Tamandua tetradactyla: one gene and its partners. The protein of the gene in region 1 purifies or fractionates together with the protein of each later gene. This does not show direct contact. Links are inferred from orthologs where the notes say so. Each region holds a gene or a part of one and is shown in the gene's direction. Other genes may lie near its edges.

Region 1 (7,674 bases):
TAAATAAATATAGGTATGAAGAAGTAAATGGCAATGAAAGGAAAGCTCTTCCTTATAATAAAAAACCAACTGCCAATTGTAAAATGAGTGATAGAATTAGAAAATCCCCATTTTCTAGCCATCATAATAACTGATTCAGTCAAGAGCCATAAATGGATGACAAAACTAATGAAGGAAGGTTTGAGGAATTACAGGATATATTTATGTTACAAGTATATTCCCACAAGATACTTTTACAAACAGTAAAATAGTTACTTTACAGTGCTGAAACCTGGCAAACATCGCCTGAACCAAATTATCAAGATTAACATTGTCAATAATGGGACTAATTGACAGCATGTCCCTCCTGATAGGATGAACCAAGACAAACTCATCCTAATTTCTGTGGTATTCCTGTTAAAAATGCATAATCTGAATCTCACCAAGTGAAAACATCACACAAATCCCAACTGAGGGAAATGCTACAAAAGAAGTGGCTTGTCCTCTCCAAAACTGTCAGAGAAAGACTCAGGAACTATGCCAGACTGAGGAAACTAAGAAACCTGACAACTGAAAGCCATGCTTCGTCTTGGATTTTTTTTTCTTATCAAGGAATTATTGGAACAACAGTCAAAATCTGAATTAAATCTGTAGATTAGATAATAGCATCATTCAAATTTCCTGATTTTGATAATTATTTTGTGAGATACATAAATGTAGGTAAGATAATCCCTTTAAAAAAAAGACATACAATTTCTAATATTTAGTAATAAAGGGGCATCCATCATGTCTGCAAGTTACTCTTGAGCATTTCAGAATAAACATTTATGTACATATATAATAGTGAATATTCGGGAGAATCAGAGGGAAAAGATAAAAGGGATCTTGAAATTCTATGTACCATTTTCTCAACTTTTCTGTAAATGTATAAGTCAAAATATTTTAAATGTTTTAAAGTTGCTAATTTTGATAAACTGTCCTACATTATTACAGAAATGTAGTTTATTGTCAGGGTAGATAGTTAAGTTGTTACTTTAAAATGGGTTTAAAAATGGGTTTAGCTCATTGTCTTGAAGTCTGCCAAATTTTAGCGATGGTAAATCAGTTTCAAATAATATCTAGATCCCCTGTCAGGAGTTGACTGTAGTATTTGTAATAGGATGAGACCTTAAGTCCAAATACAGAGGAACACAAATAAAGCACTTGTTGAGTACTGGCCTTCACCCGTCCATCCACCTGATTAAACAGTAATACACTTCAGTTGTAGATTTGTGAAGTATACTGGTTCTAAAAAATATAATAAAAATCCTTTAATCTCACCATTCTGTAGTAACTATTTAAAAACACTTTGATACATTGTTTTTCATGGCTTCTTCTAGACGTATATGTATGTTGTTTTTATATGAACATGGTCCTACATGGTCCTTTTCATTTTTATTTTGAATATTTGTTTAGAGCTTTTGCTTTTATATAATTGAGTAAGTCTACCTCATAAACTAATAATTGTTAAAATTTCTTCTATAGACAAACTATTTCCTTCCACATCAAAAGAATGTATTAATTTTTGTGTATTTTATCTATTTTTAACTTTAATTCAGCAAGACTGTGAAGTAGGAAACTATAACTACTGTACTTTTATATATACTTAAGGTCAGTAAATTCCACTTCTATCCCACCCCCCAAAAAAAGCAATTAGGGAGAGGACTTTGGTAGCCTATCTTAATCTCTTAACTGCAGCAGAGAAGTGAGTACTTTGAAAACACCAACCTTTACTTCAAGTAAGAAGAAAATAACATTGAGAAGTACTGTATGTGCTTTAAAGCTGTTTAAATTCAGAATTTTTCCCTTTAATCTGTGTATAAACCCCTGACTGTGCCCTGTGCTTTTAAACCAACCTCAAGTATAAACACAGTTCTTTTTCGGTTCAGTGCTAATCTTCAAATACCTTTTTAAAAATGCTTGATGTGAGATACATTAACAGGAGGGAAAGAACCTCCTGCGTTCTTCCAAAACATCTTAAAAGACCTAAATTCACCAATTCTGCAAATAATCTATTTTTAAGACGCCATTGTGTAAGTAATTAGGTAAACTGGCTTCTCTGAACATGTTATTTATAGGTATCTATTCTGTATGCAGTACTCACCAGTACCTTTGGAATTCTGATAAAAAGAATGTCCAGCTGATCTGTTTTAAAAAAGAATGCAAATATACAATAATTAACAGCTTTAAAGAAAGTACTTAAAATGACAAAAGGGACAGTATTGCAGATGCTTGTCACTTTTCCTGTTTCCATCAAACATAATGTCTTACAAATATTCTTTTGTAATTCTTGTTAAATCCTAACAGCTCCAGGCTTTTTTGAAAAGTGTGTGATATATGATTTTTTTAACCATATTACAAAGAATTTACTTTAAACCAGATTTGTTTTTACTTTTATAGCCTATAATCTAATTTGTACAATGAGTTCGATAAAGTGGTTTAGGCTTCTGTGCTAACCATGAGACATTTTCTTGCTCTCTTTCCCTTTAATAAAGTAATTTGGGCATTGAAAATGCTTAGTCTTTACGTAATTAAGTGCTGGAACTGATACAAGTTCTTTTTTCTTTTCTCAAATTAAGTTGAAACAGAAATACCCCTTCTTCCCTCTTCCCACAGTTTATTCATTCACCAAAAATTTATTGATCTCCTGATACACTAGGATCCAGCACTTTGCTAAACACTGTGAAGAACAAAAAAGAAACACATCCAGCTTTAAGAAGTCGTCCACCTCCAGATATAAAAAAGATGGTAGGGTACCATACCAGGAGATGGGAAGAAGGGGAAATGAAGAGTTTTTGCTTATTGGGTACAGTGCTTCTGTTTGGGGTGCTGAAAAAATTTTGGAGACAGATAGTGATGATTGCACACCATTGTGAATATGATTAGTGCCACTGAATTGTACGCTTAAAAATGGTTAAAATGGCAGACTGTGTTATATACATGAATAACTACAATATTAAAATGTTTTTTTTTAAGGGTGAAACAGGAAAAAGGAAAAGAAAAAAAAAAAGACAGCAATGATGCCATGACTATGGGCTGCATCTGACAGCGAATACCCCACAACTCTCGCTTTTAGGGAATAATGGGGAGAGCAGACGAGGAGGTATTTTAGAGCAGAGGCCGGCAGCAGTGACTTCAGTAGCTATTTGTCTTCACCATTCAGGAAATAATTGTTCAAAAACAGCTAAAAATGAAATGGATTTAAAAAGGAGACTTCTGAGCGAAGAAAATATCTCACGAGCAAGGTGCCTCTAAATGCTAATACTGCCATCAGGCTCACCGGCGATTATGAGCCCCCATTTGTAGGAATGGTGGCCCATGCCACACACAAGAAACTGATTTATCGACATGGAACCCCTCCGTAGAGCCGGGCACGTTTTCTCCCTACCCGGTTCCCCGCTGGCCTCGCCTGCAGATACTGATGGGGCCAGACGGCAAGGTTTCCAACGGGCTTCGCAGCGCCTCCTCGAGGCAGAAAGATGCACCTAGGCAGGCGACTGTCGCAGTCCCGCGTTTAGTCAGTACACCAAACCCTCCCCCGAAGCCCTTCCCCTAAACCGTGAGCGCCTCCATATTTCCCATCCCGACCACAACAAACGTTTCCCCTCCGCTCACTTCAGTACACCGGGGCCCAGTTCCTCCGCGGAGCAGCCAGCTCCCACCCACTACTAGACAGGGGGTCGCGACGCGGGCTGGCCGCCGTCCCCCAGCCCCGCAGGACCCCAAGCCTACCCGCCTTCGCCACCCTCGGTCCCGGCCACCGCGGGCGACTGTGCAGAGGAGCCGCACTCGGTCCAGTCGGACGCGGGACCCTGGCCCGGCATCTCCTCCCGGAGCCCCGGCACGAGCGGTGTGAGGAGCGGCTCTCCCCTCTCCTCTCCCCGTCAGCACGCGTGCGTCAGGCGGCGGAGGTACTGGGGCGAAGAGGCGGACGCGGGTTTCTAGACCCCCTCCGAGGCGGCCCGGACACAGCCCGAGTAGCTTCGGGAGCGCCAAGAGGGCAGACCCACAATCCTGGAGCTAAACTGGGGGGTGGCGGGAGGGCTTTAGTTGATTGCGCGTTTGCACGTTTTCGTTTGTATTTTTCGTGGAAGGGATGCGTCACAAGAAAGGAAACACACGTGCTCCCTAAAATAGGAGGTGCCCTCCGCCTCAGTATTCCAGACTCTCAGCAAATTCGCAAATATTGGGTGTCAGTATATAGGCCAAACAGCAGTGCGCAAACCAAGGACCACAGCCCGGCGCAGCTAAGCTGAGCGTTTTGCGTTATCCATTATATCACTTAGGCAACCAGCCGTCACCAGGCTCCAAACCGCCGAATTTCGGCACTTATTTGTGCGCACGCGCCAGCGCCAGCGCCGCGGCCCCGCCCCTCAGAGATTCCCTCAAGAAGCGCTTCACAAGAAGTTCGGCACTCGGGACTCTCCGTAGTGAGAGGTGTGGCAGAACCGTAAACGCCCAAGGGACTTGAATTGTGATTGGTCGGGTTTGTGGTGTTCCCGGAATTCAGCTGGCGTCGCGCGAAGGCTGGAGGGAGCATATAGGTCAGAATCTTAGTTCTGTGTGGCCGGCGTCCCTGGGAGCCTGGAGCCCTGAAATGCCTCGGTATGCTCAGCTCGTCATGGGCCCCGCAGGCAGCGGGAAGGTGAGAATTTTGAGCGAGGAGGGGAGAAAAGTCGGAGGTTCCTGGGTAGTGGGGTGTTCGGGTCCTGAGGGAGGGGGCGGCGGGTGTATATTGGGGAACCTGAGATTCTGAGCACCTAGCTTCTGTTTCTGGACTTCAGTGCCTTATTGTTTAGTTTTGAAAAGGGAGTCATAGTAATTGCTAATATTTATTGGATCTCTCAGCCCGAAGTACTGCTCTAAATGACTCGTTTATTTCCCACGGCAACCTTACGAGGTAGGTGCTGTTATTTCGAACATTTCTATAATCTTCAGAGAGCAAGATTTAGACTCACAGCCTTTGACAGGCAGCTGTATTTGGCTAGAATTAAAAGCACTTTAAAGTTGCATTTAATGTTACAGTTACCTTCAAGTTTTGATAAAATATAATTAGCTTACTATTTACAACAGATAAAACTTTTTCTTGTAAAGAAAATATTAATATTAGGGGCACTCAAATATGGCAGACAGGTGATGCTAGAGCTCAAGTAACAGAAGTTTGGGAAACACTAGAATCTGTGGAGGTGTTTTATGGCTTCAGTTTTTAATTTAACAAGCATATGATTCTGACCCATTGTCCTATTGTGGGTACAAGGAATATACATGTGACTAAGATATGTCTCGCGTCTACCCAGAGCCTGCAGTCTATTTTGAAAGACCCATAGGTGACTAGTTATTTAAAATACACTCTGATGCATAGAAAGGGCAAAGGTAACAGTATGTATAAAGGCATTGAGGAGAAAGCATGAAAGAAATTATTTCTGTATTACAGATTAATTAAAAAAAATTTTATTGTAAAAAATAAAACTTTTTTTTATTTTTATATATACAAAGCAAAGAAAGAAAAAAAGCAATAATTTTCAAAGCACACTTCAACAAGTAGTTACAGAATAGATCCCAGAGTTTGTCATGGGCTACTATTCCACCATATATTCCAGATTAATTTTTGGACTGATTGTGATCAGTACTATCCTTCATTCCTTCATACAGCAAGTTTTTGATGCTTACTGTCATAAATACTCATTGGGCATGTTCTTTGTGCCAAGCATTGTTCTAGACCCTGGGGATTTCATGGGGAACAAAACATATATACAAAATATACCTGCCCTTGAGGACCTTATATTCAAACGTATTTTTTAATTAAGTCAGTCAATTAAAAATAATGGTTGTTTTAGTTTTTAAGCTGCCAGTATGCAGTGTACTAGAAACGGAGTGGCTTTTTAAAAAGATAATTTAAGTTGCAAGTTTAGAGTTCTAAGGCCGTGAAAATGTCCAAAATAAAGCATCCAGGGAAAAATACTGTGCTAGTTTGAAAGGATTATGTATCCTAGGAAAGCCATGTTTTAATCCTGATCCATCCCGTGATGGCAGCCGTTGCTTTTTTTTTTTTTTAGATGGGTAGGCACCGGGAATCGAACCCAGGTCCTCAGGCATGGCAGGAGAGCGCTCTTACCTGCTGAGCCACTGTGGCCTGCCCGCAGCCGTTGCTTTTAATCTCTGTTCAGTACTATAGTTTGGAAACCTGATTAGATTATATCCACAGAGGTGTGGGTTACCCAATTATGGGTATTAACTTTTTATTAGAGAGAGATGTGATTCCATCCATTCCAGGTGGGTCTTGATTAGTTTACTGGAAACCTTTAAAAGAGGAAATATTTTGGAGAGAGTAAAGAACAGAGCCATGAGAACCAGGAGAGCCCACACACCCAGAGACCTGTGGAGATGAAGAAGGAAAATGCCCCTGGGGAAGTTTGATGAAACAAGAAGCTTGGAGAGAAAGCTAGCCGACATCACCATGTTTCCCATGTGGCTTTCCAGTTGAGAGAGAAACCCTGAACGTCATCAGCCTTCTTGAACTAAGGTATCTTTCCCTGGATGCCTTAGATTGGACATTTCTATAGCCTTGCTTTAATTTGGACATTTTTGCAGCTTTAGAACTGTAAACTTGCAACTTATTTAATTCCCCCTTTTAAAAGCTGTTCCATTTCTGGTATATCACATTCCGGCAGCTAGCAAACTAGAACGGATACTTTCATTGAAGAAAGGCTGATTGGGTCCAGAACACCTCTGTCAGCTGGAAAGGAACATGGTGACATCTGCTAGCCTTCTCTCCTGGCTTCTCATTTTATAAGGATTCCCTGAGGGTGTTCTTCTGCATCTCCAAAGATGTCTGGCTGTGTGCGCTCTCTCAGCTCTTTCCATAGTGGTTCCCTCTTAAAGGGCTCCAGCAAGCAATCCCACCTTGAATGGTTGGAGACGCATCTCCATGGAAACCATCTAATCAAAAAGTTACCACCCACAATTGGGCGGGTCATATCTCCATGGAAACAATCAGAAAGGTCCCCCCAGCAATATTAAATGAGGATTAAAAGAGATGTTTTTTCTGGGGTACATAATAGCTTCAAACCTGCACAGTGATCAAATAATTATGTACCAGATGCTGTGATAGTCCCTTAGTTTATAAAACTGAGTAAGACACATCCCTTTCTCTTAATAGTGAGGTAGACAGCGAAGTAACATGGCAACTTTAACAAAGTGTAATGACTACATGAGGGCTAAAGATTCTCTAAACCAGAAGTTGCAAACTGATGGCCCACCTCAAGACTATGTATTGATCTCAATGTTCCCTTATTGGATAACCTTCCCCCAGATCGGCAAGCACATTCCCATCTTTCATATCTTGTCCCATATATCCCCTCTTCAGAGACATTGTCCCTGATACCCTACCTAAAGCTTTGTTTAGACTGTGCAAGTGCTAGTAGAGATACTACATGTGCTGAATAATCCAAAATCTTCCCTTTAAATTCAACTTTTAGGACATTAGAGCAAAAGGAGCCTTAATAATCGTGGAGGCCATTCTAGTTAGAGACAAGAAAATAGAGGGCAGAGTGAAGAACAGATTCCCCAAAGTTATTCATGAATCCAGTCCTGGTCTGGTTTGTAATCCAGTCAGATCCCTGACTCCCAGCCCAGTGCCTCTTGCTTTTTTTTTTC
Region 2 (7,599 bases), on another chromosome or scaffold:
AAGATGGATGAGCCTTGAGGACATAATGCTGAGGGAAATAAGCCAGACACAAGACGATAGATATTGTATGATTCCACTTTTATGACCATGGATATAGGTAAAATCAGAGGCTTATAATACAGAATATAGGGGACTTAGAGATGCACAGAAGCTGGAGATGGGTAAGCAGTTAGTTAATGAGGTTGAACTCCAATGTAAGGGAATAGGTAGAAGTGAAGGTGGGTCTCTAGTGGGTCTATAAGCAATATTACCATATTGAAGATGAACAAGATTGGAAGAGGTTGTACAGACCTATGAGTCCTATTGAGTAACACTAGAAATATAAATTAGTTCTTTCAAGAACTTCTTCAAAGGTATGATTCATGTACAAAGAGTGTTTAAGTCCAGGGTACAGGGGGAAAACTACTATTGCATGCTATGGGCTATGTTTAAAAGGAAAACATCAGCACTACCACAGCAACAGCAGAGGTAAATAATGTGGGGACAGACAAGAGTCAAGGTGAGTGTTCTAGTTTGCTAGCTGCTGGAATTCAATATACCAGAAATGGAATGGCTTTAAAAGGGGGAATTTAATAAGTTGCTAGTTTACAGTTCTAAGGCTGAGAGAATGTACCAATTAAACCAGTCTATAGAAATGTCCAATCTAAGGCATCCAGGAAGATACCTTGGTTCAAGAAGGGTGACGAAGTTCAGGGTTTCTCTGTCAAGTGAGAAGGCAGATGGGAACATGGTCAGGGTTTTTCTCTCTCATCTGGAAAGGCACATGGTGAACATGGCGTCATCTGCTAGCTTTCTCTCCTGGCTTCCTTTCATGAAACTCCCCCAGGAGGCATTTTCCTTCTTCATTTCCAAAGATCACCGACTGGTGGACTCTACTTCCCATGGCTATGCCATTCTCTGGTCTCTCAGAATCTCCTGGCTTTCTCCCTAAGATTTCCTCTTTTATAGTATTCCAGTAAACTAATCAAGACCCAGCCGGAATGGGTGAAGACACTTCTCCACCTAATCCAGTTCAATAACCACTCTTGATTGAGTCACATCTACAGGGAGATGATCTAATTAAAGTTTCAGGCATACATAGTGCTGAATAGGGATTAAAAGAAATGGCTGCCTTTACAAAATAGGATTAGGATTAAAACATGGCTTTTCTAGGATACATACATCCTTTCAAATCGGCACAGTAACTAATAAAGTATCAGCGGCAGAGAATTCACATAGAATCAAGAGGCTACTCTGGAGGTTGTTCTTACGCAAGCTTCAGTTAGACATTGCTACCTATCATAACCTGCCAAACCCCAACAAGGACCATTCCAGCCAATCCTAAAAAACACCTAGAGCAGTATATAAGATTCCACAAGGGTTCCAGGCATTAGAGTAACTTTCCAGAAACCTACAACTTCCAGATGAGTCTCTGGACCAGGTAAGTCATGAAACCTAGATGGCTCAGCCTCTCCTGAACATCAGATAGTTCCATCTCCCTACTCTGTATTAGTGACAGACCCTTCCGACATGAAAATGTTAGAATGGCTATAGCCCAAACACCCCTAAAGAACGGGATAGAAAGATTGAAGGTGATGGTGGAGTTACACAGAGAAGATAGGATTTAACAAAATGAATATGATGACTGAATCACTAAATTGATCTCTTTTAGTCTCCAGTATCTTAGAGCAGTTAAAAGTAAAAACCTAAAATTTGGACTTGTAACCCATGTCAAATTCTGAAATATTTTCTACAACTAATTGTGATGCTGTGCTTTGAAATTATTGCTGTTTTGTATATATATTATTTTTCACAGAAAATAAGAAAAGTCGATTATGGTGACAAAAATTTTTTTTAAGTCTTCTTGCCTCCTATATTCTGGAGCAGCTAGAAGTAAAAATTGGAGAGGATGGTATGGTAGCATATGAAACACTCTGGGATCTGTCCGGTAACTACTTGTTGACGAGTGCTTTGAAAACTATTGCTTTTTTATTTGTTTTATATATATGTTATACTATACAATAAAAAAATAAATAAAATAAACAAAATAATAAAGGAATAAAATCATCTCTGGTCTCACCAGTAGCAGATAACCAAATTAATATTTTTACATACTTGCATACCAAAGAGTCTGTCATGGTCAGGTTCATCTGTCAACTTGGCCAAGTGGTGGTTGGGCAAGTGCTGGCTTGTCTGTTGTGATGAGGCCATTTCACAGAATTAAATCATGATCATGTCAGCTGCATCCACAGCTGATTCCATTTGTAATCAGCCAAAGGGGCATGTCTTCTGCAATGAGTGATGCTTAATCTAATCACTGAAAGCATTATAAGGAAGATTCAGAAGAGACAGGCTCTTCCTGTTTCGGCTGGTGAGCCTCTCCTGTGAGGTTTGTCCAGACCCTCCATAGGAATTGTCGGCTTCACAGCCTACTCTGTGGATTTTGGACTCTGCGTTCCCACGGTCACGTGAGACACTTTCATAAATTTTACATTTGCGAGTGTTCCCTGTTGATTCTGTTTCTCTAGAGAACCCTAACTAATACAGAGTCTTAGTACAAATCAATAAATATGCGTTGAACATCCAAACTATCAAAAATTACCAAATTGAGTTTACCATGTGTATCTACAATTTTTAATTCATCTTTTTCTCACTTATCGTTATACTGAGAACTTTTCCATGTATTAAAATGTTACATTTTTTCTTTTAAATGTCAATGTTTCTGATTTTTAGCTCCAAAGAGAAACTATTTCAATCATAAAAATTACACATGCTTATTGTAAAACATTTAAACATTACTGGAAAGAATGAAGAACAGTAAATCACATCCTCCAGAGATAACCAGTTAAAAGTCCTTTCTCATAACTCTACCCATTATAAATACATGTAACATATAATTGGGATATTATTCATGTAGCACATTGTTCTTTTCCATCCCCACTTATCAGTAGATGATGCCATCTTTCTAAATTAAACACAGATATTTCCATAATTATTTGATAGATGCTTATCCATCAAATTACAAATATATAATTAGGGGTCCCATAATTACAATTATTCATCAGAGGACATTTAGGTTGTTTCTAATATTTTGTTTTTATAAATAATGCTTCAGTGAGCAATCTGTTCACCTTGTTTGTCCACATTTGTGTATCTTTTCAGTAATCTCCTTGGACTAAATATCTAAACAACTAAATTGCTGAGTCAGTGGAAATATATGTATTTTTACCCTCTAGAAATGACAAATATTGTACCAATGTGCTCTCTCACCAACAAAGTAAGAGAGTGCCTGTTTGTCCATACTCTGGGCCACATTTAATATTATAAATCTTATCCATACCAATTCGATGGGTAAAAAAGAATTTAGTTTCCATTTTAATTCTGAAGTTATACATATTTTTATATTTATGATGTTTTGCTTGTTGATATCTTTTGCCTAGATTTTTCTGTTGTTTTTTTTTCCTGTTGATTCGCATGCACTTGTCAATTACCACTACCAACACATTGCCTTCTGCCAACCAGTACTTTTTTTTTTAGGCATAAGTAGTAAAGTTTATTAAAAGAGAAGTTTATTAAAAAGAGAGTACACGTTAGAGAGGTTAATGTGGGCGTGCCCAAGGAAGGGACTCGCCAGCCAGTACTTTTAAAAAACTCTATTTATGGTAATTTTGTAAATTCTATATGGAAAAATTTCATTTTTCATGGAATCATAAAACAACGTTTAGAATTATTTAATATTATCAAATCTACCAGTATTTTTACTTTGTGCCTTTTGATTGTGTTGCCATCCTTTAAAGACTTTTCATCACCTCTAGGTTATGAATATATTCACTTAACATTTTCTTCTGAGGTTTTTTAACATTTAAGTATTTAACCCGTACAAGATTTATCGAGAAGCACATTTTTTAAAATACTAATCAGCTGTTCACCGTCATTTATTGAATAAGTCATCTTTTCCCCTACGGAATTAAAATACCATCTTTTCATACAAAATTTCGCCCTGTACATGTATTTATTTCTGGGTCTTCTGTCTGGTACATAACGCTGCCTTAATGACTGTCGTGTTACGCTCTACTCTCCAGTGTGGTGAACTCCTCCTCACTCCCATGACACGCGCGTACTCTAATTCATTTAACCAATCCCCCGGTTGATGTCGGGAAATGTCCGATTTTCCCATACTATACAATGTGACTACTCCTGGAATAAATTAAATGCATTATTTGCTTCGGTGGCTCAAGTTGCGCAAATCATCTGTTTACACTTTCCCTGAAGTTATTTTAAAAAACACAACCAATATGTTTTGTTGACCTCTAATACGGAAAGAACCCACGACGGCCGGGGGTTAGGACTACCCGGCCTAGACTTCCCAGCAACACCAGAGGGGGCAGTTCTCCGGCTCCGCCGCAATCACATCCGGTTCCACCGCAGGTTCGGGCAACATGCAGGCGGAACCTTTCTGTCGCACCTCCGACTAGCAGTCCAAGCGGGGACGGTTTAGGCCTCCGCGCACCGTTCTCCAAGCGTGCTGCAGTTTATTTGGTGCAGCGAAGGCGGGCTGGAAGGTTCTGGCTGAATTTCTTTCGCCGTTAGCAGCATGGACGTCCTAGGGGAAGAGTTCGGTAACCTAACCCCAGAGCAGCTGGTGGCTCCGATCCCGACCGTAGAGGTGAGCGCCCGGCACGCGGTTGCAGAAGGGCCCGGGACACGCTCAAGGAGGCGTTGCCCGGAGAGTTCTCGCTATGGACGGGAGGCGGGCGGGTGGCATCGCGCATGCTCAAAGCATTGCGCGTGCTTATACTTTTCCTTGGTTGGCCGCCGCTAGCGTGTGGAAGGGGTGAGCCCAGAGAGCTGTCAGTGGTTACGGAAGCCGAGAGGCCCTCCGATGGCGCTCGGGTTGGACCCCTTCCAAGCTCCTGTTCGTTTGTGTCCGAGAAGATTAGCTCTCGTATCCACCCTGTGGGGTCCTATTGCTTCTTCGTTTTCAGACATATCGAGAAAAACAGTAGGACCCAGGGAGCTTAGTCCACTTTCATGAGGTCCTCTAGCTGTGGTGCGAAAGCCAAATCGTCTGAATCTTTTACTTTCTATCTTGACTTGTCCCACTCCAATCTGTCTTCTGCTCTGTAGCCAGAGTCATCAGTTTAAACACACAAATATGGTCACGTCTCTCCCTTGGTTTAACTTCTTCAATTTCTACCCATTGATCTTAGAGCAAAATTTAAAGTCTTTATGAAGGATTACAAGGCTTTCCTCAGTCTGTCCGCTGCTTACTTTTCCAGCCGCTTTTTCCACCATTGCACTTTGTAGATTAAATCCTAGATATCTATCATATGACTCCCTCCAGAGGCCTTCCTTGATTCTTCCAGATGTTAGATCCCCTTAGTACTTGCTACGATAGTGTCTTCTCCATTCTGGAGACTAACATTTAGTTTTTCTTTCCACTAGAATATGTTTGTCTTATTTGTTGTGTGTCCTCCGTTCTTGACCTGTAAAATGTTTTTATTGAATGAATGAATGAATTAGATTGAATGAATGTGATGAGTAACTTTATTGCCTTTTCCAAAGCAATGGTATCTAGAATGGTTTTAAGGGACTCAGAGAATGCCATTTTACTCATTTTTTATTGCTGGGTGTTGTCTGCATTTTTTGCTTTATGAAGTAAAGCTATAATTTTAGTGTTGAACTAACAAGAATCGGGACGGTACTTTATAAGAGAATTTCTTTAATAACAAATGAAAATAACTTTTCCTTTCAGTTGGGAAATTGATATGTTTATTTACTTCAGTGCTTTCTCTGTAAGTTTTCCTACATAGGTGCTATTTTGCCTGTTAACCATACCTAATATATTTTTCTGTACTCTGTATGCTATCATAGCAACATGGTAGGAGAAATAACACAGCTTTGGAGTCATGTAATCACTTGTTTATTGAACAGATTTTATTGAGGGATTACTGTGGGCCAGGCAGCATACCATTCCCAGGGATTGTACAAATTCAAAATCTCCCTCCCTGTCTTCCAGGAGTTTATGGGTTAAAGGGGGAGACATGTACACATGTGGAATAACATATAGTGGATTCTGTGATAGAAGGGAAAGTCTTTGTTACAACTGCAACTGATGGGTAAAATGTGATGCTCGAACTGAGTCTTAACAGATGGGGATGAAGTGTTGTGGTGGGAGAGGCATTCTGAATAAAAGGGACGCCATGAGCAAAAGCCTGAAAGTATTAAAAAGCCCATCATGTAGTTTCATGTGGTTTGGGAGAAAGATGTGAGGCTGGAGAAGTATCCAGGGGTGAGACCACAGAGGACGTTATGCTGTAGAGTTTAGACTTCATGAGGATGGTGTGGAGGCAATGGAGAATGGTAAGGTGATGAATGACAGGATCAGCTGTGAACATGGAAAAGATCACTCTAGCTTGAGTGTTGGTCATGGAATGGAGGGAAAATGGCAACTTTAAAGTAGACTTAAAAGAAAATATCACAGAAGTCCAGGTAAAAGACTATGAGGGCCTCAGCTGCAGTAGCAGAGGATGAATGTGAGGAAATTTAAAAGGAGGTGGACACAGTGGAACTTGTTCTCCAACTGATCAAGAAGCATCTGAGAGGTAGGACTCCCTGGGGTTTTAATTGGTAATGACTGTATAAATGATGTTGTTCGCTGAGATTGGGAATAGGGCAGGCTGAAAGGAAGGGGTAAGTTGGGGGATCTAATTTTGGGTGTATTGAGTTTGAGTAGTTCCTGAGCCCTTAAGGTGTTGCTGCCTGGTAAACAGTTGGAGGAGACATATTCATACCTTGTGGGTCACTGTAGCTGTGATATTTACTCACTTATTCATTTATTCATTCATTATCTATTGCAGATCTTTTATGCTCCTGGCACTGTGGTAAATAAGGTAGTCAGGGTCACTGTCCTTGAAAGTGCTTACATTTGTAACTGGGGAGGGAGGTGGGAGATCTTGAAATGGGGATGTTAAACAAGTGGTCTTTCAAATCCTTCACACCCAGCACACTTGGGAGTGAGAAAAGAAGTGTCCAGGGATAGAACTTTGAGGATACCAACATTTGCAGAGTAGGCAGAGGAAAGGAAGACCAAGAAGGCATTCTCAGAGGTAGGAAAGGCATTAGAAGAGAATGTTGTCACAGGAGCGTTACAAGAAGGGAGTGGTCAACATGGCCGACTGCTGTGGAAAGGCTGAGGGGAGCTCTTTGGAATTGGAATTGGAATATTGGAAACATTGGTGACATTTGCTAGAGCAGTTTCGTTAGTAGATGGGTCAGAATCTTGACTGTAATTGGTAGAAGAAGGAAAGAAAAATGAGGAACAGAGAAGGTCCTCTCTGACTACTTGTTGGGAAGTTAGTAAGCTGAAGAGCAGGAGAAGAAAAGAGAAAGTTTTGAGCTGTTTCAGGGTGAAAGGATGAAGCCAGTATCCAGGAGAGTTTGAACATCGAGGGAAGGGAAGGACTGTTAATAGGGCGAGGTTTTAGTCCTGGAAAAGATTGGAAAGGTGGGTTTGAGAGTCCAGGTAGAAGTGTTAGCCTTAGACTGGGGAATGGACACTTTCTTCCTTTGATGCTGGAGAAAATAAGGTAAGAGGATAGGTATAAGGAGAGAAATCTG
Region 3 (7,886 bases), on another chromosome or scaffold:
CCACTGCTTGCGAGAATATCGGGAGTTCTCCAGATGGGGAAGTTGAATTTTCCCCGTTTCTCCCCATTCCCCCAAGGGGACTTGGCAAATATTTTTTTATTCACTGTTCAAATCACTCTGGGATTTATTGGGGCATCACTCTGGGATTTATCAGGGCATTCCTCTGGACAAGCCTATATAATCTCAGGCCCTATTTAAGGTTCCATGTACTTATGGTGTTCAATTAAACTGTCCACATAAGTTATATTAGGAGATGCACTAGTCAAAATATAAATTTTGGACAAAATAAACACTTTTTCCTTTTGTCTCACACATAAGTTAAAGTTTTAAAATACGAACTACCATCTACTTTCAACACCCTGCAACACTGACATTCCTTTGTTCTTCCTCATGCAAAAAAAACATTTTTAACTTTGTACATCTAGTTACTACCAGAGTTAATGAATTTTAAAAGTCTGTATTTATCAGGTGGTAATAAATGCTATGGAGAAAAGTCGGTCAGTAAATAAGACAGGTGATGTCATGGGGGAGTGGGAGTTACAACTTTGAAGACAAAATGTCAAAAGTGACTTTGGAGTAATAGACCTGGATGAAGGGAGAAAGTGAGCTGTGCAGAAGTATGTGGTGGGCTCTAGAGCATTCCAGGTAGCAGGTGCAGAAGCCCTGGAGGAGGAACACGCCTGATCTCTTCCAGAAACAGCAAGGAGGCCAGCGTGGCAGGAGCAGTCAGTGAGGGGAGTGTGGCAGGAATGGTGGCCAGGGAGATGACAGATGGAGGGGCACCTTATGCAGGGCTTTGCAGAAAGCCCTGGTGTTCACTCTGAAATGGGAGGCCACTGGGAAGTTGAGACATGATCTGCTGTGAAATATATTACTTATGCTCTATTGAGACTAGACCGAGGGCCCAGGTGGAAGCAGGGAGGCCAGTTGGAAGCTACTGTAATAATCTCAACAAAAGATGTGATGGTGGCCTCGAGCAGGGTAGTGTGTCACTGAAGGGTGAGACGTAGTAAGATTCTGGATATATTTGGAAGGTAGAGCTGCCATAAAAAAATGTTAGGCCTGAGAGAAATAGAGGAGTTAAAAAAAGAGGAATTTTTTTTTTTTAACCTGAACAACCAGAAGGATGGTGTGGCCATTTTCCTAAGATGCAAAAACTTTGGGAAGTTTGAGGAGGAAGATCAAAAGTTTGAACTTAAACATAAATTTAAGAACCCTAGCAAATATCTTAGTTAAGGCTGAAATAGGCAGAGATATACCTCTGGAGTTCAGAGAGTTCTAGGCTGGAGATACATATTTAAGAGCTATTTGTAAACGTACACGGTTTGAAGCCAGGAAAATAAGGGAGGAGTTCCAAGAACTGAATCCTAAAATTTTCCCATATTAAGAGGCTGAAGAGTTGAGGAACCAAGAAAGGAGAATGAGAAGGAATGGCCTCCAAAATGAATCAAATTAGGGTAAATTTCATGTCGAGAACATGTAATAGCCCAATCTTAGGTACTGCTCTCCTACTATATATTCCCTTTATTCTACTAATACATATTCAAAGCAGTTGCTTATTCATTTAGTATTTTCAATGCCCATCACGAATTCACAGGAATTGGCTTTTGACAGAAACTGTTTAGACCTTCTAAAACCTGTATTTAGACCCAGAAAATTATGAAATGTTCCCAAGAGTTCGACTACTAGTTTCATTATCTATCAGAAAAGAATGGTTATTGTCTTTTCCTATAAGATATATGTAAATAAAATGCAATAAAATGTTGATAATAAAAATATCTGCTAGACTCATATGTTACATAGGCTTCTGTGGCTAATAATTTACAAGCTTGAGGCTAGATAAAAGAATGAACACTTCAGAGAAAACAGAGAGCTCTGGGATTAAGTAAAGAAAGAAAGCAGAATGGTGAAGGCAAATTATAGAACCATATATGAAATAACTCAACCTAAAAAAATACATGCATAGGAAAAACAGCTTCAAGTATACAAAACAGGTGATGGTATAACATTAGCAGATTTTAATTCTCTGCCTTTTAAAATTTTCAGAATTTCCTACAATGAATAAGCATCTTTTTTTTTTTTTCAGGTTGAACTATACTTTTATTTTACTCCATCAGCTGACATTAAGGGATAATACAATAAAAAATGAAACAAGACTCAGAGTTCTTGAAATGTTGTTGGGAATACAGTTCACAGGACCACACAGTGTTTGCTTCTTAGGGACTCAAACACATTTTATTTGAAGCCTCACAATCAGATAAATTGTGCTTCTTACCAGCAACTGGTTTATTCTCATATCATAAACCTGTAACTGATCAGTGAATAAGCATCTTTGTAAAAACAAAACAAAACAAAAATTTAAGAGCTGCTAAAAGCTTGGTGAACCTCAAAGTCCAGAGAAACAAACTGGAGCAATTTCATCTGGTACTCCAGTCAGAGACTCAGGGCTAAAACAAACAAACAAACAAATAAATAAATAAATAAAATATAATAAATTTTTTTAAAAAGGAAACCGAGGGCTGTTATGTGTAGCTCTGTAGGGAACAGGAAGGGTTTTCGTTTGGTTTGGTTATCATACAACTAATATGGAGAAAAGATATTGAAAAAATCTGGATAGAAACCAACATAACAAAATAGTAATATAATATTAATATATTGTTAAATTGGTAAAAATGAAGTTTAAAAATTTTAACTCAAAATGATGTGGTAAATTATGTATATGTATACGCACATTTTTTAGTGGTGATGCACAAACATTTTGAAAGAAATTTATAACATGGATGAAGAACCACAAAATGCTCATGTTCATAATAGTATAGCCACTGTGGAAAACAGTTTGGCAGTTTTTTATAAAATTGAGCATGCAACTACCATATGACCCATTAATTATACTCTTAGGCATTTATCCCAGAGAAATGAAAAACGTTATGTTTACACAAAAACCCATACACAGCAGCTTTATTTCTAACGCCCCAAACTGGCAACGACCTGTTCACAGCAGTTTTATTTGCTATAGCCAGATATCCTTCAAAGGGTGAATGATGAAAGAAACTGATACAGCCATACTATGGATACTCAGCAATAAATAATAAGGAACTACTGTTGCATGCAACAAATTGGAAAATCTCCAGGGAATTTTGTTGAGTGGAAAAAGCAATTTTAAGAAGTTATATAGAATAGTTACATAATATTCTTGAAATAACCAAATTATAGAAATGGAGAGCAGATTAATAGTTACCAGGGAGGGGGATGGTGGTGAAATGGATGTGGCTATGAAAGGGCGAAACAAGAGATACTTGCGGTGATGGAAATGTTTTGTGTCTAGACTATATCAGCGTCAATATTCTGAGTGTGATATTGCACTATTGTTTTATAAGACGCTACTATTGAGGCAAACTAAGTAAGCAATACTTGGGATCTCTCAGCACTATTTCTTAAGACTACATGCGTCTACCATTATCTCAAAATAAAAAGATGACTTCTAAAAAACTGCAAGTACTCTTTAGGCCACTAATCCCAGGTCTGGAGATTTGTGCTAAGGAAACAATTCCAAAGAAGAATGTTGAATGCACCCAATGTTCAAAGAAGCATTATTTACAACAAAGAGTGAAACAATCGAATGTTCAAATAATAGGGAAATCGGACATAATGATATATCCACTCCACGGAGAATATCTAAATCATTTGGATACAACAACAAAGAAATGTTATTTGAAAAAGGAGGATACAGAATTGTGGGACAATATGACGGAAGCGTGAAATATATTACACACATTTTGATAGCAGTATTCTAGGTGGAATTCTAATAGAAATGTTTTCCTTTCCCCAAACTTTCTGTAACGTTGTTACATGGTTTTTTATACGGTGTGTGTGTGAGGGAGCACATTATTTATTTTTACGTTAAACCACAAGCGCTAGAGTCACAGTAAAAGTTCTTTACATTCGCCCCTCCTGCAGAGCAAACTTTCAGGTTCCATGCAAGCACAGGCGCACGCAGCCCTAAGCCCAGCCTGGGTGCTACTGGGCACCTGGCTTGCCCGCGGCAGCTGCTTCGCCAACCTCGCACAGCCCCACCCCACGACCCTACCAGGAGTTCAGAGAAGGGTCGTCGGAGCGAGGGCGAGGCCACTGCCTAGAGGTGCAGTGACCACTCCAAGGTCACCATCCAGAGCCCGCGGCCGCAATGGAGACTGCTACGGCCCGGCGCGGGCCTGGGTTCTGGCCTGGGTTCCCCCGACTTCGAGTCCAGGTCTCGCTCTCTGCCCCGCGCCCCTCGCCCCACCCCGAAGCGCGACCCCAACTGCTCCGAGGCGGCTGATTCCCACATTGTGCTCTGGCGACCGCCAGCGCCCCAGACCCTGAGCAGCGCCCCAGACCCTGAGCTCGGCGCCTCCACTCCCCGCCCCAGGCCGGACCCCCGAGCGCTGCACCGTGGCGGAACCTAGACCCAACCCCTCATCCTTTTTCGCCCTCTCAACCCAGCTTTTCCCGACTCCGGGAAGAACCGGGAAGAGAAGGCAGAGCTGCGCGAGGCGCCGCTTGATAAATACTGTGGCCCGGCCCCGCCCACCGAACCTCACTTCCGCCCCGCGGCAAGATGGCGGCGCCCGGGCGCTGCCACGCAGACTTCCGCCCAGCGTGGAAACTGAGGGCCCGCTACGGGCGGCGGCGGAGGTGAAGTGACGCGCGTGGTGTGGAGTCGCAGTTCGGGTGCTCTAGGGTGCGTCCCTGACTCAGGCCTGGCCAGACCCCCTAGGGAGACGGCGAGTCGCGACAGGCTAAGATCGAGAGCCAAAGCCTTGAGCCGGGTGGTCCAGGGAGTCTCGCCACGTGGGAGGGGGAGGAGCTGATGCGCGTCCGCAGGGACGCACTGACTGGGGGGCGGGAGCCACGTGGGTGGGGTTCCGCCCACGGTTCGCGTGTCCAACCCGTCGAGTGACCTCGTTGCTCCTTTCCCCCCTTTTCCCCCTTCTCTCCCAGGCAACATGTCGGAAGGAAACGCCGCGGGCGAGCCCAGCACCCCGGGAGGTCCCCGACCTCTTCTCTCTGGGGCCCGGGGGCTTATCGGGAGGCGGCCGGCGCCCCCCCTTACCCCGGGCCGTCTTCCCTCCATCCGTTCCAGGGACCTCACCCTCGGGGGAGTCAAGAAGGTACCCGACATCACCTTTTTGCAGAGAAACTCAACTATCTTGAATACAAGCCCCCTGAGATTCAAATAGTATTCATATAGGGCCTACTGTGTGCCAGGGCTCGTGTGGACCCCGTAAGAATCTTGTGCCTAGACTTCTGCTTATTCGTCTTTCAGTGCTGGGAAGCCTGTTGTACCTTCAAGTCTAGTTGTTTGGAACAAGGTGTTGAGAGAATTCCCAGAGTGGCTGGAGGGCAGAGGATCCTCATTAGTCCAAGACGTTCAGAGGCAATTTGAGCGTGTTTCTTTTACTGTATATTTCGGACACCTTTGAGAAGCCCATGAAAAGCAAGCATAATGAATCAAACATGACATTAGATGCTTTGTATCCTTGGCCATTATGTTAGTGCTTATTGATGTAAATTAAATGTAGCCCTGAAGAGGGAAAAAAATGACAGAAGCATAAAATAGCCTGTTGTGAAGGACTTAATTTTGTCTTGGAGAATTCTGGTGGTAGAATTCTAACTATCTTGAACCTTGCTGCTAGAGCTGTTTTCCTATGAAACTGACTGGTCTCTAAAGCTGTTTGAAGACAAGAGGTGAGACTAGATAAGTTTCTTCGCTTTTAGAAGCCCAGGAGGCACTCCTTTTAGGGGACACAAGCTGAGGCTTCTAGTTAAAAATGACTTTGGTATCCAGTCATCCACTGGAATACCACTTATCCCATTTATCTAGGTAAATCCACTGCTGATGTTCCTTCTTTTCGGGTATGTTCCCATCTCTAAATCCCTGACAACAGTTTCCAATATGTGTAAGAGAACCATGGTGATCTTGGTCCTTAAAAGATGCCCTTTGGTAATTTTTCTTTTCGTCTGTACTTTGGGGTCAGAACTTATCAAATCAGTGACTCCTGTATTTTACTTTCAGAAAACCTTCACCCCAAACATCATCAGTCGGAAGATTAAGGAAGAGTAAGTAGCTAGGCTTTCTGAATAACTACCCCTGATTTACATTCTCTGAATTTGGGGATTCTGGGATACAACTAGATATGTGGCTCAAGAACTTAAACTTAGGAGTTTCAACCCTGGCTCCCAGGTGATTCTTATGTACAAGCCTTTAAAAAAATGATGCATAAGACTCTATCCCTAAAAATCGTGATTTAACTTGTTAGCAGTGGAATGGAGTGATTCTCATATATAGCCAGAGATAAGAACCACCAGTTTAGACAAAGATGTATCAAGTTATCCCTTAAGTTCCTTACCATTATAACCTTCCTGTTTTCAGTCAGTGCAAAAAAATCTACATTTGGGGGTAGCTTCTATAGTTCAGGTTTTGAGTTATGATTCTGATATATACTGTTAACAAAAATTAAAGTAAAGAAAACAGGACCCTGCCCTATTGAGCAAGTGAAAAACTGAGACTGAGGATTGGGTTCTCCACCTTATAATGAAGTTGTTGGCTTATAAACGCGCTGCTCAGTTAGAGTGGAATGGTATGAGAGAGTTAGGCCAGTTCTCTGAGGCAGGGTGAGTGAGTGGTTTCTTTTAATCCACTCCCTTTTCCAGGCCAAAGGAAGAAGTAACTGTCAAAAAGGAGAAGCGTGAAAGAGATAGAGACCGACAGCGAGAAGGGCATGGACGGGGCCGGGGTCGTCCAGAAGTGATCCAGTCCCACTCCATCTTTGAGCAGGGCCCAGCTGAAATGATGAAGAAAAAAGGTATAAGACTGTTGGGGCTCTGGGAGGAAGGAATGGATGGAGGATTTCAGTTCAGAATGCTTAAGAGAAGGACAAAGACAATGTTATTTCCTTGCTTCCAGTTAGTTTTCCTTGTTGCTGGCATCTTCTTTATCCTTGGTGAATTGGGTGATTTCCCACAGGGAATTGGGATAAAACAGTGGATGTGTCAGACATGGGGCCTTCTCATATCATCAACATCAAAAAAGAGAAGAGGGAGACGGATGAAGAAACAAAACAAATCCTGCGCATGCTGGAAAAGGATGACGTAGGTACCAGGGAACTGGGGAGAAAGGGCTTCTGTGTGGCTGTGGAAAAGAACTTTTGGGGAGCAAGAGTTAGAAGAAGATGAGCATTGTTGTTGTTGTTAATTTTTTTATTAATTAAAAAAAATTTTTTTTGAAGTATGATAAGAAACAAACATTCTTAACATATGATCATTCTGTTCTACATATATAATCAGTAATTCACAATATCATCACATAGTTGCATATTCAGAAGATGAGCTTTTTGATGTCCTGTTGAGCAGCAGGACTCTGATTAGAAAAGAACTCGAGTGGATTCCAGTATAACTACTGGTCTAGCTCTTTGTGACCTCTCTGACTCTTTGGCAGTTCATCGATGACCCTGGGCTGAGGAATGACACTCGAAACATGCCTGTGCAGTTGCCTCTGGCTCACTCAGGGTGGCTTTTTAAGGAAGAGAATGAAGAACCAGATGTTAAACCTTTGCTGGCTGGTCCCAAGGAAGAGGACATGGAAGTGGATGTCCCTGTTATGAAAGGTATTCTGTGTCAGTTAACTTCTCATTGCCTTTTCTTTGGCCACCCCTCAGAAGTCTGTATAGAACCTAACAAACTGTTATTAATAAGTAGGTCCTCTTCCATCCCAGTTATAAAATGTATAACCTGAAATAAAATGCTAAATTCTCATTCTCTGAGGCTTTAAGTGCTGACATGGATCAGTGGACCCTAAATCCCTTTTTAAATAAGCCACATAACTCTTGAATGTTCTGTCTCTTGTC
Region 4 (8,391 bases), on another chromosome or scaffold:
GGATCATGTCAGTTATTCATGGAGAAAAATTTCTCCACACCCATTTCAAAACATGATTGATACCATCAAACAGGTTTGGTACAAGTTCTGTAATTTTTCGTAAATGCCCAAGCCAGAATACCTAGACCTTTAGGCAAGAAGGCAGTAATCTGGCAGCTACAACAGAAATAAAACAAGTAACCTAACCATAAAGTTTACCATGTTCATAATGCAAATGAAGGAAGGAAAATTAGATTTTCTTTTAAAGCTGTCTGACAGCAGTTTAGAGAAAAAGGGCTGATTTGACTACAAGTAAGGAGATCTATTGCAAGTTTCAATCAAGGGTTTGGGTGAAGGGTATATGGGGGTAGGGGGTGTTCAAACGGGTGACAGGAGGGAGAGTGTAGATAGAAGAAAGTGTTTAGATTTCAATAGTATTTAGGTTGTAGGATTTGGTGCCCAGCTGTATGTGTGGGGCCAGGGGCTAGGGACAGGTGAGGGAAAAGGAATAGCCAGGTATGAATGCCTAGTTTCTGGCTTGGGTACCATTGAAGAGTTGAGTGGGGAAGGGAAATATAAATCAGTTCAGTTTGGACACACTGATTCTGAGAAGCCTTTTGGACATCCGGGGGATACGTACACACTTCGGATGCACAATGTAATAATTTCACTTATCAAGTGAGAACACCCATATAACCATCACCACAATAAAGATAATGAACATATCCAACACTCCCCCAAATTTAATCCTGCTCTTTGATAACCTCCCTCCAGCCACTCTGTGCCACCCCACAGCTTCAGGCAATTGGTGATTTACTTTCTGTCATTATAGATTAGGTTGAACTTTTTAGAATTTTATACAAATGAAACCATACCGTGTGCACTTTTTTGGGGGGGGGTTCCTTTCACTTAGTATAATTATTTTGAGATTCACTGATTTTGTTGTACGTACCATAGTATTCAATTTTATGGCTATACCACAAACTGTGTATCTATCCACCTGTTGCTAGACATTTGGGCTGTTTCCACTTTGGGGCTATTACAAATAAAGGTGCTACGAATATAAATACAAGTCTTTGTACAAACATAGGCATTCATTTCTCTTGTGCAAATACCTAGCAGAAGAATGGTTAGGTTATATGGTAGATGTATATTTAATTTTTGAAGAAAGCAGCAAACTGTTTTCCAAAATGGAATCACCTAAAGGCTAGCTCTCCCACATGCCTAGTAGTGGACGCTGTCTGTGGCTTAGAACCTCAAATGGGGCTGGCAGCCAAAACACCTACCCAAACTCAGCCTCCTTCACAATCCGTAGCTGGATTCCAAGAGCAATAGGCAGAAGCTGAATTGCGTTTTTTGTTTGTTTGTTTGTTTTGCTTGTTTTTTGCATGGGCAGGCACGGGGAATCGAACCCAGGTCTCTGGCATGGCAAGCAAGAACTCTGCCTGCTGAGCCACTGTGGCCCACTTGAAGCTGAATTGCCTTTTATCACATAGCCTAGAAAATCACTTTTGCTATTGTTACAAGTGCATCCAGATTCAAGGGTAGGAGAGATGGACCGCATTTCTTGACAAGAGGAGTTTTAAAGTTAAATATAAGAAGAACATGTGGGATGGGAGATAGTCTTGCTGCCATTTTGCTCAACACCACGTGTGCTGTGGCCAGTTTTAAGGCCACTTGTGCTCCAAACTAACAACCAATGGGAGGAGACAGAGAAGAGCAGCTGAAGATTCTGGAGAACTTTTATCAATTTCACGATTGGCTCTTTTTTTTATCTTTAACTCTGTAAGGACAAATGCAAACCATTACCGGGGGAGTTTTTATCATGTTCGAACAAAGTGCTTGTGCCATTTGGTGGCAAGAGGATGGCTAAGTGATCCTGGTAGCCCTTCGCACAACTAATGAGCTTTTCCCTTCCTTTCTTTTTCTTCATTTTAATTGTTTTTCTTCCTTTCTAATACACCCAGTTTTATTCGTTACTGTGAAAGCAATTAACACTCAAGAGATTAAGTTCCACTGGGAAGGTGACTTGGATTTTTTTTAAAAAGAGCATTAAAAAACAAAAACAAATGAAAATCAAAACCCCCATCCAGATTCCATTTTATAACAGATGGGCTCTTTATCAAAATTATTGTGATATGCAGTTGGAATTCTTTAGCAGAGATTAGTTGTCTGTGGTATGTGGGCACCATTTCCTCTCAAATGTTTGCCTGGAAACAGGTAAAAACCATGGCACTTGTCCCTCTCTTTGTTCATTTCTCCATTGTTAAATTTTCCCATTTTGTATTCTTTTTCCCAGACACTAATGTTAAAGTCTGTAATCTAAATATTTAGTTTTCATTGTTTTTGTTTGATGTATTATAAAAGAATACTTTGCCTATTTTCATTTTGAAGTCCAAATGCTTTTGTTTCAGGATGATGTTTTCCTAACACGAAACATCAATCCAAGAGAATTAGATGGTTTGTACATGGGTATTGTTAGTGTGCTGGTTTGAAAGGATGTATGTACACTAGAAAAGCCATGTTTTAATCCTAATTCCATTCTGTAAAGGCAGCCATTTCTTCTAATCCCTATTCATTACTGTATGTTTGAATATGTAGTTAGATCATCTCCCTGGAGCTGTGACTCAATCAAGAGTGGTTGTTAAACTGGATTAGGTGGAGACCTGTCTCTTCCATTTGGGGGGGTCTTTATTAGTTTACTGGAATCCTATAAAGCAGAACGACAAGAGAGAAAGCAGGGAGGTTCGGAGAGAGCAGAACGACACAAGAAGCAGGGAGCCCACCAGCCAGCGGCCTTTGGAGATGAAGAAGGAAAATGCCTCCCGGGGAGCTTCATGAAACAGGAACCTAGGAGAGAAAGCTAGCAGATGATGCCATGTTCGCCATGTGCTCTTCCACTTGAGAGAGAAACCCTGAACTTCATCACACTTCTTGAATCAAGGTATCTTTCCCTGGATGCCTTAGACTGGACATTTCTATAGACTTGCTTTAATTGGGACATTTTCTTGGCCTTAGAACTGTAAACTAGCAACTTATTAAATTCCCCTTTTTAAAAGTCATTCCGTTTCTGGTATATTACTTTCTGGCAGCTAGCAAACTAGAACAGTTAGGAATTCAGATTTGTATTATGACATCTTGTTATGTAAGAGATTCTATCCCATACCACTGAAAATATTTATAGTAATTATAGTTAATCCTTATATTCTTACATACACTAAAGGGACATTTTATTAAGAGAAAGAGGAATATCAGGGAGAAAGGAGAGAGAAAAATGATGAGAGAAGGAGATTCCACCAATTAATACCTGCTATATGAGTTAAGGGAGACAAAAAAGTCCTAGCATAGTTCCCCAACAGAAAGGACTTTACAACTTAGTTAGGAAGGGGAGATATCTTACCAGGTATAGCACAATTATTAGAGAGGCATAATAAGCTGTTCAGTGAGGTTCTGGATTTAAGCACTATAATTGTGTTAAAAGAAAGAGCAAGTTGGTTTGGAATAATCCAAGAGTCAGGGAGGAGATGAAGCTTTAGGCAAGATTTGTAATTGGCAAAGAGAAAAGGGACAGCCTTCCACAAGAGGGAAACAGCAAAGGGTAAAGTTCTGAGGCTTGAAAGAAAGGCATCTTTGCTTTATGGACCCTGGGGACCAAGGATCAGTGGATGGGGATTCACTGCTATGGGGGAATAAAGGGTCAGCTTGAACCTAGGGGAAGGATGAGGAGATCTTGGGGGAACTTGCCTGGGGACAACCTCCTGATCAAGTATTTCTTATCATGCTAGGACCAGAACAGGTTTCTGAAGTTCTTGAAAGCAAGGATTATACTAAGAAAATTTATTTTGGTACACTATTTAATCTGATCAGAATGAACTAAACTGGGGAGATACAAAATGGCTGAAAATGTGATTCTTTGAATAACTCCAAAATTCAGCTAGAGCTTTTGTCTGATTGAAAAGGAGTTGCTGGAGGTTGGGTTTATATAACACCTTACGGGGGTTTGAAGAAACCTCAATTTTCCATATCAAAAATGAGGTCTATGTGTGGAGGTGTAGTTTAGACAATCTGCTGTGACTCTTGCATACTTCTTACCCTTTCTTTTGGGAGACAGCTCTGATAGCTAAACTATAAGGAAAGGTGAGAGCAGGGTGTGAGGCTTATTACACTTGCCATCTTTTCAACAATTGGGGAAAAATTTTTTTCACCGATGTTATACACTTGGAAATAGGCCTAAAGTGAAGAAGGGGATTCTCCAGTTGGTGTGGTAGAAAGAGCAATTGGGCATTTGTGTTTGAATTCCGGTGCTGTCCCTGGTATTGTGCCTTAGAAATAGTTACCATAATTGTTGTCTCTGTTTTTATATTGGCAAAAAAGGGAATTGCTTTGTACAGTCTCGCAACCCCCTCCCCTTGCACCCCATCACCACTCTTAGCGGCCTTTGCTAAGGTTTTTGGCGGCGCTTTGGATTAGTTCAAAGAATTGGGAGTGCCATGACAACTAGTGCCCAGAAGCTAGGGATACCAAATATCCTGCAATGCCTGGGACATTGCCACAAATAAAGAATGTTCGGTCCCCAACGCACAGAGCCCTATTAAGAAGGGATGATGGTCTCTAAATAACTTCCCAATGCTACAACTTCACTAAGCTTTGAGCTAAGAGGATCCACATCATAGACCAGGCCCTTGAAAACCCAACCCCATCAATGGCTAACTCAACTTTCAGGTTCCAAATTTTACTTCTTAGAGATACTTCCCCTGATGTCCATCTCGAATTTACTATTAAATTGTCTTGCTCTCTGTTAGTACTTGCTGCCATTCGCCACATCGAAATGAAAATAGTGGCCGTGGCTATGTGCCCACTAATATATAGCGTTTGGTGAGGTCACAGTTGCATTCCATAAATTTTTTGCATAAACATGAAAAACGGTGGCACTCAATAAATACTTTAGATGTAAACAAATGAATAGGCGACGAAAAGACAAGCCAGCAAACGGCGCGAAAAGGGAACTCGGCCGAGGCGCTGACGTCACTCGCAACTTCCGCCTCTTTCCGCTCCTCCCGGCGCCCCCTTCTCCTTGTCTGTGTTTGTTTCCGGCGTTTCAATAAAGCTCGATTCGGCTCGAAGGAGACTCGTTCTTCCGGGAAGATGGCGTCTCCCGCTCGTGCCCCGGAGTCGCCGCCGGCTGCGGGTCTGGCGCTAGCGGCGAGGTCTGGTGAGGAAGCCGACTGCCCGCCGCCTCGCCAGCCTCAGCCCCAGCAGAATGTCCTCGCTGCCCCGCGGCTTCGAGCCCCAGGCTCTCGAGGACTTGGGGCAGCGGAGTTTGGCGGAGCTGCGGGAGATGTTGAAGCGCCAGGAGAGACTTTTGCGCAACGAGTAAGCTTGGGTCCTGCCGGGTCACTGCCAGGCTCTTTTGGTCCCGGCTCCCTGGGAAGCTCCTCCCCACCCCGGGGTTCCCTTCCCGGGAAGGTGACCTTGTCTCAGATTCATTTCTGCCCCACAGGCGAGGGGACAGTCTGCAGCCGCAAAACTGCACCGCATTACGGCCAGTCACGCACTAGTCACACTGCCGGATGAGTAGGGTACTGGACTTGTGTTTTATCGTTTGAGCTGTTCATTACCACCTTGTTGGTTTTCTTTATCCAGGTGTTGTGGCGAATCCTTGAAGGAAAGGTCTGTGCTATAAACTCTTTCTGTGTCCCCCCTCTCCCCACAACTGGTGCCCAGTACAGTAAAGGCTCAATATCTTGTGAATTTCATCTCAAAATCTTTCTTTCACGAACTCTAGGAAGTGGGAGAAGTGGGATATGAAGAATGGTTTATTAAGCCGAGAAAGTTTGAACTCTCACTCAACCAGGGTAGTAATATAATAAGTAATTTTTTTTTTAAGGAAACTTCATTTAGCAGCTAAGTGGAGGATGGTTTGAAGGAATAAAAGGTTTAAGGCAATAGGAGGATATTTTCAGATAGGTTCCCAACAAGGGGATTTCTTAAGAAAGCGAATGAGAACGGTGGCCATGAGATGGAGAAAATTACATCAAGCATGGGATAATTTGAATATGTTGTTTCCAGCGTCCATGCTGGAAGTTTCCAGGTAAACCATTGCCAAAACTAGGAAAATTGGGGGAGGAGAAAAGGTCCAGGTTGAATTTGCTTAGAATGAGTTGAGGGAAGGGCTGAACAGACATTGAGTTAATTATGTCTAGTTAAAAGCTGGAGAAGTGGTCGTGGGGCTCTAGAGAGGAGACTGGAAAAATAGGGGAGTCTCAACTGCAGAGAAGTGTTAATAGTTGAAACTGGGAATGAATGTGGAGAAAGAAAAGAGGGCCTGAGATGTAACTTTTCCTTCCCGTGTATTATATAGCTAAAGAGAAAGGGAAATGGAAAAAAGACTCCACTCAGCAAAAAGGAAAAAATAATCATTTGGCACCTTCCTAATAGATAGGTGTTTTGATTTTGTGAGAGTGGACTTTTTAATGTATAATTCTCTTAACTTTTTCCTCTTAAACATAATTGACAATCCCGAAGAGCTCTTATATCTCTTATATCTATCAGTATTTATGTTTATTAGGAATTACAACAGAGAAATCTTTAAAACACAAAAATATACAAGCATACGTTCCACTAGTCATCACATCACAAAACCTTTGGGAAGCCCTACCCATATGCGAGCATGGGAGTGAAATAGTAAAAAAATGTCTTAGTATTTTTTTTTGTATGCTCTGTGGTGGGATCACATTTCATTATTTTTCCATGTGAGTATCCTGTTATTGTAGCACCATTTGTTGAATTTTTGTTTGTTTGTTTTTTGGAAAGTGCATGGACCGGGAATTGAACCCAGGTCTCCTGCATGGCAGGTGAGAATTCTATCACTGAACTGCCCTTGCACTCCTGTCTTAGTATTTTTATGAAAATAGTTTTGACCTTGCAGACAAGATGGCCTTGGGGACCACATTTTAAAAACTGTTACAATATGGGAATGCTTTGTGTTGTTATTGTATACTTAAATTACTTTTCTGCAGTTCTAGCTAGATGAGACAAAAATTATTCTCTATTCTTCCAGCAGAGTATTTGGGTAATGTCTTAATTTGTTTCATTCTTGTGTGGGGCAGTTGGAAATCAAATTTTTTGTTTAAAAGCCAGTTTTTCTCCTTTTGAGGATAATGCTCTGTTTTTTAAATTCCCATCTTGGGGTTAAAAACATGCCAGTGATGTATACTTGTTCTTTTCCATTTGACAGAAAATTCATTTGCAAATTGCCCGACAAAGGTAAAAAGATCTTAGACTGTGCTGCCAGACTGAAAGCAGCCCTTGCCGAACGTGAAGAATTTAGAGGAAAAAGCGAACTGTTTCATCCCGTTAGATTAGGCTGTAAACCAAGGCAAACTGTGGTTGTAGCAGTTGATGTGGACACAGATAAGACCCAGAATTCTGATCAGATACTTGATACTTCATCACTAATTCCTAACTGTTCCTCTGTGGATAACATCAAGTCATCTAAAACAACCTCACAAAAACAGGGAATTGCAGATCTCACTAACAAAAGCGATGAAGAGACCACAGAGGCAAAGTGCACAGTGAACGAGAGCCCAGGGTCGAGCGTCAGAATCGGTGCAACTTTCTCATCTATAGCTAGTGAGCATCTTCCTCAGCGTTGTGTTTCAGGTCAAGCAGAAGATATTTCCAGCAGCTCTGACAGCCTGTTTATTGATAGATTACAGAAGATCACAATTACAGACCAAGGTGAACACGGCTCTGAAGAAAACACAAGCACTACTAACTTGACAGATCTTCATAGCAGGACTCAGAAGAAGCCCCATTACGTGGAAGTGCTAGAAATGCGAGCCAAAAATCCAGTGCCCCCACTACATAAATTTAAAACAAATATGTAAGTACCATTGGAAATAGATCTAGCATAGGAACAATATTTGTTAGAATTTTTTTTTTTAAGGAGGGAATTTGGGCTTTGTGTGAAAACTACTTGTAGTTAGGAATGAATGTGTTTTGGAAATAGAGCAACATGACTGGAATGGACAATTCATGTTGAAAAGTAGTATTTAGTATTTTATAGCCAAGTAATTAAAAAGGTTTTAAGTAACGGAGGAGTGTTAAATTTCTTGATATGTAGCCAATTTTTCATAATAAAACATAATTAGAGTTGGAGAGTTTACTGTGACTTTTTTTCTAGAACCATTTTTTAGTACACAAAAACAGCTTCCCCTTAAACTAAGCTAAAGGAAAAGTAGTTGCAGGAGCTGATAAAGATATTCTCAGCCAAAAATGCTTGAATGCTCATGTTTCCTAAGTTAGTGGTTTTACCACCTCCTTGGTTTTTTCCTCCCAAAGTGTCTTCCTTACCTTATTCCCATGTTTGATAGTCATGAAGACTGTGACCTTAATCTCTCCTTAATCATT

Evidence for each region.
Region 2: the proteins of GPN3 (region 1) and POLR3B purify together in Homo sapiens (affinity purification with mass spectrometry; 3 studies listed by BioGRID and IntAct, counting the BioPlex papers as one, with this or other methods). This does not show direct contact. The link is inferred for Tamandua tetradactyla from reciprocal best matches to the Homo sapiens genes GPN3 and POLR3B.
Region 3: the proteins of GPN3 (region 1) and POLR3D purify together in Homo sapiens (affinity purification with mass spectrometry; 3 studies listed by BioGRID and IntAct, counting the BioPlex papers as one, with this or other methods). This does not show direct contact. The link is inferred for Tamandua tetradactyla from reciprocal best matches to the Homo sapiens genes GPN3 and POLR3D.
Region 4: the proteins of GPN3 (region 1) and POLR2M purify together in Homo sapiens (affinity purification with mass spectrometry; 3 studies listed by BioGRID and IntAct, counting the BioPlex papers as one, with this or other methods). This does not show direct contact. The link is inferred for Tamandua tetradactyla from reciprocal best matches to the Homo sapiens genes GPN3 and POLR2M.

What each region holds. Positions count from the first base shown.
Region 1 is NC_135331.1:11,199,794-11,207,467, reverse strand, and holds the start of GPN3 (GPN-loop GTPase 3), read left to right. Parts: upstream 1-4,079; 5' UTR 4,080-4,615; coding exon 4,616-4,663; intron 4,664-7,674. Other genes in the region: protein FAM216A, read right to left, coding at 2,123-2,163, 3,751-3,842. UniProt on the Homo sapiens protein: Small GTPase required for proper localization of RNA polymerase II (RNAPII). May act at an RNAP assembly step prior to nuclear import.
Region 2 is NC_135333.1:22,886,101-22,893,699, forward strand, and holds the start of POLR3B (DNA-directed RNA polymerase III subunit RPC2), read left to right. Parts: upstream 1-4,351; 5' UTR 4,352-4,573; coding exon 4,574-4,645; intron 4,646-4,827; exon of another isoform or gene 4,828-5,029; intron 5,030-5,849; exon of another isoform or gene 5,850-6,584; intron 6,585-7,599. UniProt on the Homo sapiens protein: Catalytic core component of RNA polymerase III (Pol III), a DNA-dependent RNA polymerase which synthesizes small non-coding RNAs using the four ribonucleoside triphosphates as substrates.
Region 3 is NC_135329.1:22,877,405-22,885,290, forward strand, and holds the start of POLR3D (DNA-directed RNA polymerase III subunit RPC4), read left to right. Parts: upstream 1-4,593; 5' UTR 4,594-4,720; intron 4,721-4,980; 5' UTR 4,981-4,985; coding exon 4,986-5,150; intron 5,151-6,055; coding exon 6,056-6,099; intron 6,100-6,693; coding exon 6,694-6,845; intron 6,846-7,006; coding exon 7,007-7,131; intron 7,132-7,477; coding exon 7,478-7,646; intron 7,647-7,886. UniProt on the Homo sapiens protein: DNA-dependent RNA polymerase catalyzes the transcription of DNA into RNA using the four ribonucleoside triphosphates as substrates.
Region 4 is NC_135340.1:73,288,366-73,296,756, forward strand, and holds the start of POLR2M (protein GRINL1A), read left to right. Parts: upstream 1-5,105; 5' UTR 5,106-5,239; coding exon 5,240-5,352; intron 5,353-5,690; exon of another isoform or gene 5,691-5,978; coding exon of another isoform or gene 5,979-6,070; intron 6,071-7,216; coding exon 7,217-7,864; intron 7,865-8,391.